2 linked regions of the Nothobranchius furzeri genome follow. The protein of the gene in region 1 binds, or shares a complex with, the protein of each later gene. Links are inferred from orthologs where the notes say so. Each region holds a gene or a part of one and is shown on either strand. Other genes may lie near its edges.

Region 1 (5,545 bases):
GTTTATGCGATAACACCTAACGTAATGCACCAACGTAACCATATGACAAGTCAGTATGCTAGCTAATATTAGGTGTGTGTATTGGCAAGGGCAACTATATACATGAAATTTAGCAATACTAAAAGAACTCAGGCCAGACACATCCAGAGTTATCGCCAGATCTCATTGTTCTATCAGATTGAAGGTGGTGAAAACTGAAGTTGCCAAGCAACAAAAGAAATACAGTTAATGCTTGCATGCAACTTTTCAGTAAAAATGTCTGTTGGAAAAAGAAGATAATTTTTAGCTTTCTTGGCTTATTAATAACTTTAAAATCCCAGCAGCTCAGTACCACCACCAATCTGGGAAAATCCCCATGAAAAAAGGTCAATAAGAACTTCCTAAGACCAGGGGCGGTTCTAGACCAAATTTTCCAGGGGTGGCCACAGTGGGGCCAGTATTTTTTCATGGGGGCACAAGAAAAAAAAAAGGGAATAATTAGGGCAATATCAAAATAGTTTTTTGTCTCCGCCATATGACTAGTTTTGTGCTTGTGCACAATTTTGCCAAAGGAAATTCCTAGTACTGTGAAACTACTCACTTTTTTGTTCTCTTCTTTTTCATGTCTATCTTTACTATATTTTGGGGATCAAATTTATCAAAAATTTTCCTTTACTTTTTTCATCTATGATCTTTTACAGCTGTATTTTATTAAAATAAGATTCAAATTAATTCATAAGTAAAGACAATGAACAAGTAATCTATTGCAGCAAATGCAGTAATGATTTACTTGTGAAAGTAAAACTGGCATGTCTTTATGGCTCAGACTCACGCTCCTCTCTAGGCGACTATGCACAAACGCATAAACGGCCCAAACAGAACATTCAGTCCGTTACACTAGGCAGCCTGGCTCAGGCTTCACTTCCTGTTTAGCTACTCTGAAAACCCTCGATTCTTGCATAGATGATCATGGCACGATCGGGGACAGTCATGCTCCAGTCATTATCAATTAGATGTTCGCAGTGAGGTGGCTTTTCCAGTATTGTACAGTTCAGAAATAATTCGTTTTCAGACAACACTGGTTGCTGTGAGGAGCATTTCAAATAATTTGGCAAAACAAATTTTGAGAAAAACATCTACATCATCTACAAGTTTTACGTTTTATTTTGATCAGTCACCTTTCTTTTCAGCTGCATCTCTCCTCAGCATCGGCTTCGAGGAGCTCCAGGAGGCGCTGACTTCTCAGTGTGTGGTCACGAGGGGCGAGACCATCATCCGTACCAACACCGTGGACAAAGCTGCTGACGTCCGAGACGCCATGTCCAAGGCCTTGTACGGACGCCTCTTCAGCTGGATCGTGAACCGCATCAACTCACTGCTGCAGCCTGACACGAACACCAGGTGAGTGTCTGTCGTCATCTGTGGGGACGTCCCCTCATGCAGGCTCTCTGCAAGTCCCCGATGACCTCTGTGGAAGTCCGCAGAGGTAAATGCAAAGAAGATGATATTAATAAGCACATACAAGAAAAGTAAAAAGAGCAAAAAAATCAAAAAAAGATAAGTTTTTATAAATTTTTGATAGTTGCGTGCAGAGAAAATAATGTTCAGATGATTAAAAAGACTTCAGAGAGACTGCAAAAAGACTTTTCATTGATCCAAAAGAATTTCTTCATAAATGTGAGCGTCGACTGTCAGGGAGTCATCTCACACAAATGAATTCAAGTCATCTGGGCTGATTCTTTATTGCTGTTAATAACCGGGCAGGCTTAAGGTGACCTCTATGTCCAGCCATGAAGCATCGAGTGCTGAATATAAATAGCATCTTCAGCTGAAGAAAGGTGAATTATTTGTGCTGAAAATGTTTGAGGTTAAATCAGCCGAGGCAATCTGAAGCGGCTGTCCGTAACTTCTCATCAGACTAAGCCATCCAGATCCGATTCTGAATTTGGGTTGAACTTGAATTATCATTAAAGTTTAATCAATTAATACGGCTGCTGGGGATTTACCCGCTCCGCCACATGGAAGAATGCATTTGTTTGTCCCCCTTTTCTCCTTTGAAGTGCCTCCGAGAGTTGCATGAATGTGGGAATCCTGGACATCTTTGGTTTTGAAAACTTCAAGAAGAACTCGTTTGAACAACTGTGCATCAACATCGCAAACGAGCAGATCCAGTTTTACTTCAATCAGCACATATTTGCCCTGGAACAGGTGAGGGTATTAATAATCCACACTGATGCATCAGAGATTACTCTAATGTGTTTTGGATTAAGCAAAACAGGGAATCGGTGATCTAGTGCTGTGATTACTTGTTTCTGCATGTTTTCATTTAAACTGTGAACCTCTGGCTTGTCTGATGAATAAAGAAAAAAAAAAGATTATTTTTACCTTCGTACACCTCAAAAAAACCCTTTCAATTAAATAAAGTATGTATTTTTTAAATGAATAAACATTATTTATAAGCTGTTGACCCAATCGCTTTGCAATTTTCATCACTAGTTCTAGTGAAGTTACTTTTCAAAAGCACAAGTAATCTACGTTTTTCGATATATCTTGTGCCATTTCCATTCAAAACTATGGCTCCTTTAATGAGAACAGTCATCTAAATTCACATTTAGAAACGCTCTGCAGGACCAGAACTCATCAGAAGCTGCATGTTCTTTTTTTACAGCAGTGATGAATGAGAATTAGGACCGAGCTCATGGAAAGTTGTTGCCCCGTTAAAGGGAATCTTTATTTCACACTCTGATTATTCCAGCATGATGACTTAAACATGAGTCAAACAGTTTAGATCCATTGGTTCTTCTTTATTAGTAAAATACATATTTAAAACAACTTTTTGATCTGAAGTTAAACAGATGCAATAATAAGAATATCGCAGTGTGTTATTTGCACATTGAAATACATTATAAATAAGTGAGTGACTATTTGTTAGATTGGAGCTGTTGGGGTTCATGCATCCATTTCATTATGCTAAAAAGTTCAGCCAGCTGCAGCTGGTTCCATGTGCGCGTACACACACACACACACACACACACACACACACACACACACACACACACACACACACACACACACACTCACACACGAGTCATTTTTACCCCAGATTGTTTAACTGGGTCATTTAGTGAAACCAATAACTGGTTCTTTTTGCGTTTTGTGGTTCTAATTAGATGGAATACCAGAGCGAGGGAGTAGATGCCAGCCTGGTGGAGTACGAGGACAACAGGCCCATCCTGGACATGTTTCTGCAGAAACCCATGGGTCTGCTGTCCCTGATGGACGAGGAGAGCCGCTTCCCTCAGGCCACGGACCAAACCCTCGTGGGTGAGTCTACAAAATACATCTGAGGTGATTTTTTATAACATGTAAAACTGACATTTCTTGTTTGCTTTCAGATAAATTTGAAGACAATCTGCGCTGCAAGTATTTTTGGATACCTAAACGCATGGAGCTTTGCTTTGGAATTCAGCATTATGCTGGGAAGGTATCAGAACATCTGAATCTATCTAATTTTAACTTAGAATATGTCCGTAAATGTTAACCTGGCGAAAACTTGCAGTATTAGGTTTGAAGTTGTTTTTTCTTAACAAAACTTCGGATTTCTGAGCATTTCCTGTGTTTTACTCTACAGGTTATGTACGATGTGAACGGTTTCCTGGAGAAGAACCGGGACACTCTTCCTGCAGACATCGTTCTGGTGCTGAGAACATCAGAGAACAAACTCCTGCAGCAGCTCTTCTCCAGCCCTCTGACTAAAACAGGTGTGTCGCCATGCAGTGGTGGAAAAAGTACTGTTTTTTTTACTTAAGTACAGAAAGTACAGGTAAAGGGATAAATAATTATTTAAAAGGGGACAAATTATAACTTTTTTCTTAGTTTATAATATTTTTATGGTTGATATCAAACATGTTCATGAAGTTCTTTGCACTCAATCTCTCTCACATTAAGATATTTCAGAATTTTTATTCTTGACATTTTCAGTATCTTCCACAATGAGCCTTTTTAGGGCTTTGTCACTTTAAGAAAAAAAGCTGTAGCTTGCCACACCTACCCATCCCCCACTCAGGCTACTATAAGCTGAGAAACTCGGATGTGCTGGCGGGGTTTGGAGTAGAGCTGCTGTTCCTCCAGCACCAGCTCTTTCTTGCACGTGATTGGTGGTTCCACTGTAATTTGTGATAATCACAAACAGGGACTTTTTGAATTGGCTTGTTTTCGTTCCTAAAACCAAACACTGACAAAAAAAATGGTTGGATGGATATTTTCACATTTGGACTGTTAAGAGAATATTTAACATAAGTAAAAGTATTAAAGTATGCATTTTAATATGTACTTCAAAGAAAAAAAGTGAAAGTAATACTTTTACCTTTGGAACTGCAGTCCGGCGGCAGCTCGAACAAGGGAATGCACACCCTGTCTCCATCAAACCCGGGGTTTGGGTGGGAGTTGGACAAAATGCAAATGAAAGTTCTTTCACTTTTGAAATTTTTATTTGTAGTGACGTAAAAGTAAAAAGTAGGCCTGAAAAAAAAGACTTAAGTAAAGTACAGATACAGAAAAATGATACAGTAATGAAATACTTGTACATCATTACATTCCATCACTGCCACAAGGATACCTATTTCATTAAAAAAATATTTGCAACAATTTAGAGAAGCAGTTTCTTGCCACTCACCATAACAGGGACCAAAACTTTCCTCGGAGACAGACCGTATTAGTGAGAGCATTGTCCTTCTGTGTGCTCCCTCCATACATGTTCAGGTAAGTGGGTTTCTTTAAAAGACGCAGCTCGCAGACATCTACCAGTCCTTCGTTTCAAGCCTCTGTGTGCCGTCCTCGGTTAAATCTGCAGTCCCCATTATCTCTTGAGAGGCTCAGCTCTCTGCACGGCACTCTGTTTTTATTTTCACTAAGCTTTCCCTCTTGGTTTCCCCACCGCTGAATGCTATCTCCAGATTGTGGGTGCTGTGGGATATTTTACGATAAGGTTTCTAAATACCCAGGGGATGAAGAAACAGTATTTAGAGAACACAAAAGCAACTCGTCCCACATCTTTTTCGTTGGTTAAATTAATGTGCTCGTCATTAGCCAATGCCGAGGCCTCCTGGTCACTTGACTTAGCTGAAATGCTAATGGATGTCTTAAATGATCAGATTCCCTCTTCTTTATTTCAGCTAAGCCACACTATATGATTCACTTCCTTTTTAGGGGCCCGTAAAGGCCCACTTTCACTCCCAGAGGCTTTAAAAGATGCCTCGACTCACAAAAGACACCCTATTTGAGACCTGTGTGGAAATTTGTGATGTGTCTGTAAACTTCAATTGCAGGTTTGTGCACAAGGGAGCCTTCAGCCATTTCCTCCTGCAATTAACAGCTTCACAGGACTGCACGCCGTAAAAAACAAATGCACTGAGCACTTCTTTTCAGCACACAAAAGACCTGAATAGAAGCAGAGATGTGCTGTAATGTTTACTGTTAGTGTCACTTAGGTCTAAAAGCTTCTTTATGTCCTTTTTGTTCTGCTGAGCTTTTGTCTCTTCCCCCCATTTTCAAGCAGAAGAATCAA
Region 2 (3,985 bases), on another chromosome or scaffold:
CTAAAGAAAACTCAATATATAAAGTAAATAAAACAACTTACTGTGATTGTTTTGAACAAAAAGCCAGTTCAAAACTTGTATAATCATGTGTGCTCTAATTGGTCTCCAACAGCGCATGTCTAAAACTTCTGTCCTCCATTGCCACTGAACTGCACATTTTTTTTACTCCTGTACACCTGGTTTGAATCAGCTGTGGCTTCTACAGAACTCGAGGGGCGTCCTGCAGGCGAATCAAGCATTAAATCAGATCAGGTGGGCTGGAGAACAAGTAAAACATGCTGGAATCTGGAATATGTAAGGCACACTAACAAAGTGTGCTGAAAACATATTTACAGGTGAATGCAGGTGCTTTTTGAAATCTGAGTCTTTCCTGATCTCATTTAGTGATAAAAAAAATACTATACTGATACTTGGATCTGAGTACTCATCGATACAGATTACCAATATTTCTACCACACAAAAAATGCAATAAGTTGCAGGTTTTATTTTCTTCTCTGCTTTCAACATGAAAAGACTGCGAGGTAGATAAAGAACAAAATATATTAACAGAAATAATCACAAAACTAAAACAGTATGTGAACAGAAATGACACAGTGAAGTCACTTTCAGGCAACTGCATTGGTTTCGGTTCCAGAAGTACATTTTAAATATAAAGAAAAGCAAAAAAAAAAAAAAAATCTGAGAGAGAGAGAGAGATTTATGATCCAATCAGCCACTTGGGTTAGGGCAGGGCTATTAAATTCTGGGTTTCTTGGTCGGTATCCAGCACGTTTAAGTAGATCCCTGGTCCAACACAGTCAGTGGTTGAATCACCTGCAGCTCCTCTGCAGAAGCCATTTAATCACCTAATTGAAACCAGGTGTGTTGAAGCAGGGTTAAACCCAGACCTGCTGCACTGGCTGGCCCTTGAGTCCTGGAATTGAATAGCCCTGGGTTAGGGTTAGAGACATTCATGATAATCAAGATGTCGGTCAAAAACAGCTTTTTTTGCACATTTTTTGTTTGGAAAACTGGCTAACTCTAGCAGATCAGATATGTTTTTCATGAGAAATAACTCGTTTTGCACTTCCTAAACCCCATAAATGTAAATTTACAGATGGTGGTTTACTCATGAAATAAGTCAGAATCAGTTTCACCAAAGACCACAAGATGGACCTCTTCCTTTCACAAGAAACAGGTGTCCGGTGTTGCTGATTTAACAGGAAAAAGCTGCGCAAACAGACAGGAGGAGTCCTCAAAGTCTGATCACTGGTGTTTACACCTGACTGAAACACTTACCTTTATAGAACTATTTACGTTAGTTTGTTACCGTTTGTTTGCACTGCTCCTTTAATTTCTGAGCGGATTTTCACAGCAACTTGTAACAGGCTCGGTGATCCTCCCCCTGCTGGATTATTTAACAGGCGCTCAGCCCCATGTCGCCATCTGCTAAAGGGAGAAAAACACCAAGAAAGACAAGAGCTACATTATAGACGAGAAATTAATTAGGAATAACGAAGGAAGAATTAATACAGGAAGTATTTTATTGGACACCTTGAGGCTGTTTTACAGGTGTGTGGATGATCGAGATTATAGAGGAGGATACGACTGCGGATGTCGTATCCCTGTGATGTTGTGAGATTTGATCAAACATGTAAAAGGATGTTTAAACAATTCAAACGTGGATTTTACGCTTCATCACCGCCTTGCTGAGATCCATGGAACCAAACTCTCCCACAGGTGACCTGGTGACCAGGATCTGAAGCTTTGCTGATAAAATGCTGCTGATGCTGACCCCATCCACCCGGTGAGTAAGTCGGGGGTCAACAGACGAGAGGGAGTCGTCCTGTCCGAGGCCATGGTGGTGATGGAGGGCGACAGGGCGCTGCTCGCAGCGAGGAAAGGGGACGTGCAGAGTCTGAAAGCGCAATTAGCGGCAAAGGTGCTCAACAGCGACATCAAGGATGCGCTCGGAGCTTCACCTGTCCACCACGCCGCCAGGGCCGGGAAACTGAGCTGTTTGCGTTTCCTGGTGGATGAGGCTGGACTGCCGGGAAACTGCGTGGCCAACAACGGGGCCACTCCGGCGCACGACGCGGCGGCTACGGGCAACCTGGCCTGCTTACAGTGGCTGCTGACCCAGGGTGGATGTCGGCCAGAGGTAAGTGAGCTAAGCCAAGGACTAACAAGTGGAGCAGACAACATGTAGAAGAACACCATGCTGCTTTAGATTCATTTGAATTATTTATTATGGCAATTTAATAAATACGATTTCAATATTTCTGCCCCGTCCTTTTGGTTCTCTGTAAAATCCTCTGTTGTTGTCTCTCTGATTCAACACGCCCTTAATGCAAAGGTCTGCAGAAGCCTGGTAATTAGTCATCGGATCAAACCAGGTGTGTTGGTGCAGAGAGGCATGTTAACAATCAGTACGGTAGCCCAGAAGGACCAAGCTTGCTCACCCCTAACCAACATCCTCGTACATGATCATACATGACAGCATGACCAGTCAGGAGGTTGGTGATAACTTCATCCAGGAAGCAATTACAACTCAACCAGGATGTCCCCTTTCAAAATAAAATATTATGATTCAATTACAAACTTTGAAGGAAAATGAAAGGCAATGAAATGATAGTTGTCAAAATCAGTACAAATGAAATTTAAACTTTAATTTTCTGATTAAAACCAACTTTGCAGAATTGCATTGTGTTGCCGTGGTGATGAAGTATAGGCAAAACAGGATTTGCAAACCTAATTCTATTTGTACAGTACATCAACAGGCAGTGGCGGACTCAGAAATTTGTGGGCCCAAGGCAAACAAAAACATGGAGCCCTCTGCAGCTGTTGGAAAAAATATTCTAAACATCTTTTAAGTGTAATTGGGGCCTTATAATAGGTTTAGGGCCCAAGGCCATCACCTCCCTTTGCCCAAAGATAAGTCTGCCTCTAGAGGCTCAGGAGGCTTAAAAACGCACGATGGCTCCATGTGGTATGTTGGGATAGTTGGAAGGCTTTTGGGTGCTGTAATCAGTAATGCTCACATAATGAAATAGATCTGATGACTCCATGACCTCGTGTCCCTGGTACATGCAAATTACAGTCGGCCAATAAAGAAATGCAGCTGCCTTTTAAGGAGTTGGATTGGGAAGTATTTTAGTTAAGCCGCTTTTTAATAGAAATGAAGGAAGTAAGGAAACTTAAAAGACAAATCCAGCAGTGTGCAGGAATCCAGAAGTCAAATCAAGATGGGTTGAAACTATAGAACACATGATGGTGAACAAATAAATACCACATGAATTTAGACCACTAATGCAAGAGCATAAAAAATGAATCATTACTTTTTTAGTTCTTGTCTGTTTTGCAGGACAGAGACAGTTCTGGCGCCACTGTACTCCACCTGGCAACTCGCTTCAGCCACCATGAGATCACCGACTGGCTGCTGAAGAGCGGTGAGGGGGACCCCGGGGCCCCTACAGATACAGGTGCCCTACCTGTTCATTATGCTGCTGCCAAGGGAGACCAGGCTTCCCTCCGCCTGTTACTGGGGCACAGCCCAAAGTAAGCCTTGATACGCGGGCTCCTTATTAACTGATCTGTTATTTAAAGTTACAAAGTGTAGTTTTTATGAAATAATCTCTGGAGACATCCACCAAATTGCTGTTGAAACTGAAACTGTTGGCAGCTTGATATCATATAAATATAAAAGGCAGGCCTAAAATACATGAGCAGGTCTAAGGCCCGTTCCCAATTCTCGCACTGCGTCCTACGGTCCTCTATGAAGTGCACTTGGAGGAAGGGCACAGTAAGGGTTCGAGTGTGTAGCACGCGTACCGAGATGCCACATCCACACAGGAGCCACATTCGGACCGCCAGACCTTCAAACCTTTGGGCCCTAGCGCCCCCGTCAATTGTGGGGCTTTGAAATTTAGCAGCAAAATTCATGTCCCAAATATCAATAATTGTTTACGTTCTCCAAACACAACTAAAACTTCAATCAAAACAGTTT

The links. Proteins that work in one complex are often made in the same cells at the same time.
Region 2: the proteins of myo3b (region 1) and espn are in contact, whole or in part, in a crystal structure (PDB 5ET1), measured with the Mus musculus proteins. The link is inferred for Nothobranchius furzeri from reciprocal best matches to the Homo sapiens genes MYO3B and ESPN. Residues at the interface, in XP_017174528.1 of Mus musculus: Arg1223, Arg1224, Gln1226, Gln1227, Pro1228, Lys1229, Met1230, Leu1231, Ser1232, Ser1233, Asp1236, Thr1237, Met1238, Tyr1239, Tyr1240, Asn1241, Gln1242, Leu1243; in NP_997570.1 of Mus musculus: Leu35, Ala37, His41, Arg45, Ala67, Asn69, Ala71, His75, Asp76, Ala79, Thr80, Asp101, Ser103, Leu110, Arg113, Phe114, Thr135, Thr137, Ala139, His143, Tyr144, Ala147, Thr169, Asn171, Tyr177, Leu178, Gln181, Ala203, Asp205, Met207.

What each region holds. Positions count from the first base shown.
Region 1 is NC_091754.1:20,402,548-20,408,092, forward strand, and holds part of myo3b (myosin-IIIb), read left to right. Parts: intron 1-1,169; coding exon 1,170-1,380; intron 1,381-2,039; coding exon 2,040-2,187; intron 2,188-3,149; coding exon 3,150-3,303; intron 3,304-3,374; coding exon 3,375-3,463; intron 3,464-3,610; coding exon 3,611-3,740; intron 3,741-5,545.
Region 2 is NC_091755.1:32,449,765-32,453,749, forward strand, and holds the start of espn (espin), read left to right. Parts: upstream 1-1,185; 5' UTR 1,186-1,837; coding exon 1,838-2,140; intron 2,141-3,343; coding exon 3,344-3,537; intron 3,538-3,985. UniProt on the Homo sapiens protein: Multifunctional actin-bundling protein. Plays a major role in regulating the organization, dimension, dynamics and signaling capacities of the actin filament-rich microvilli in the mechanosensory and chemosensory cells.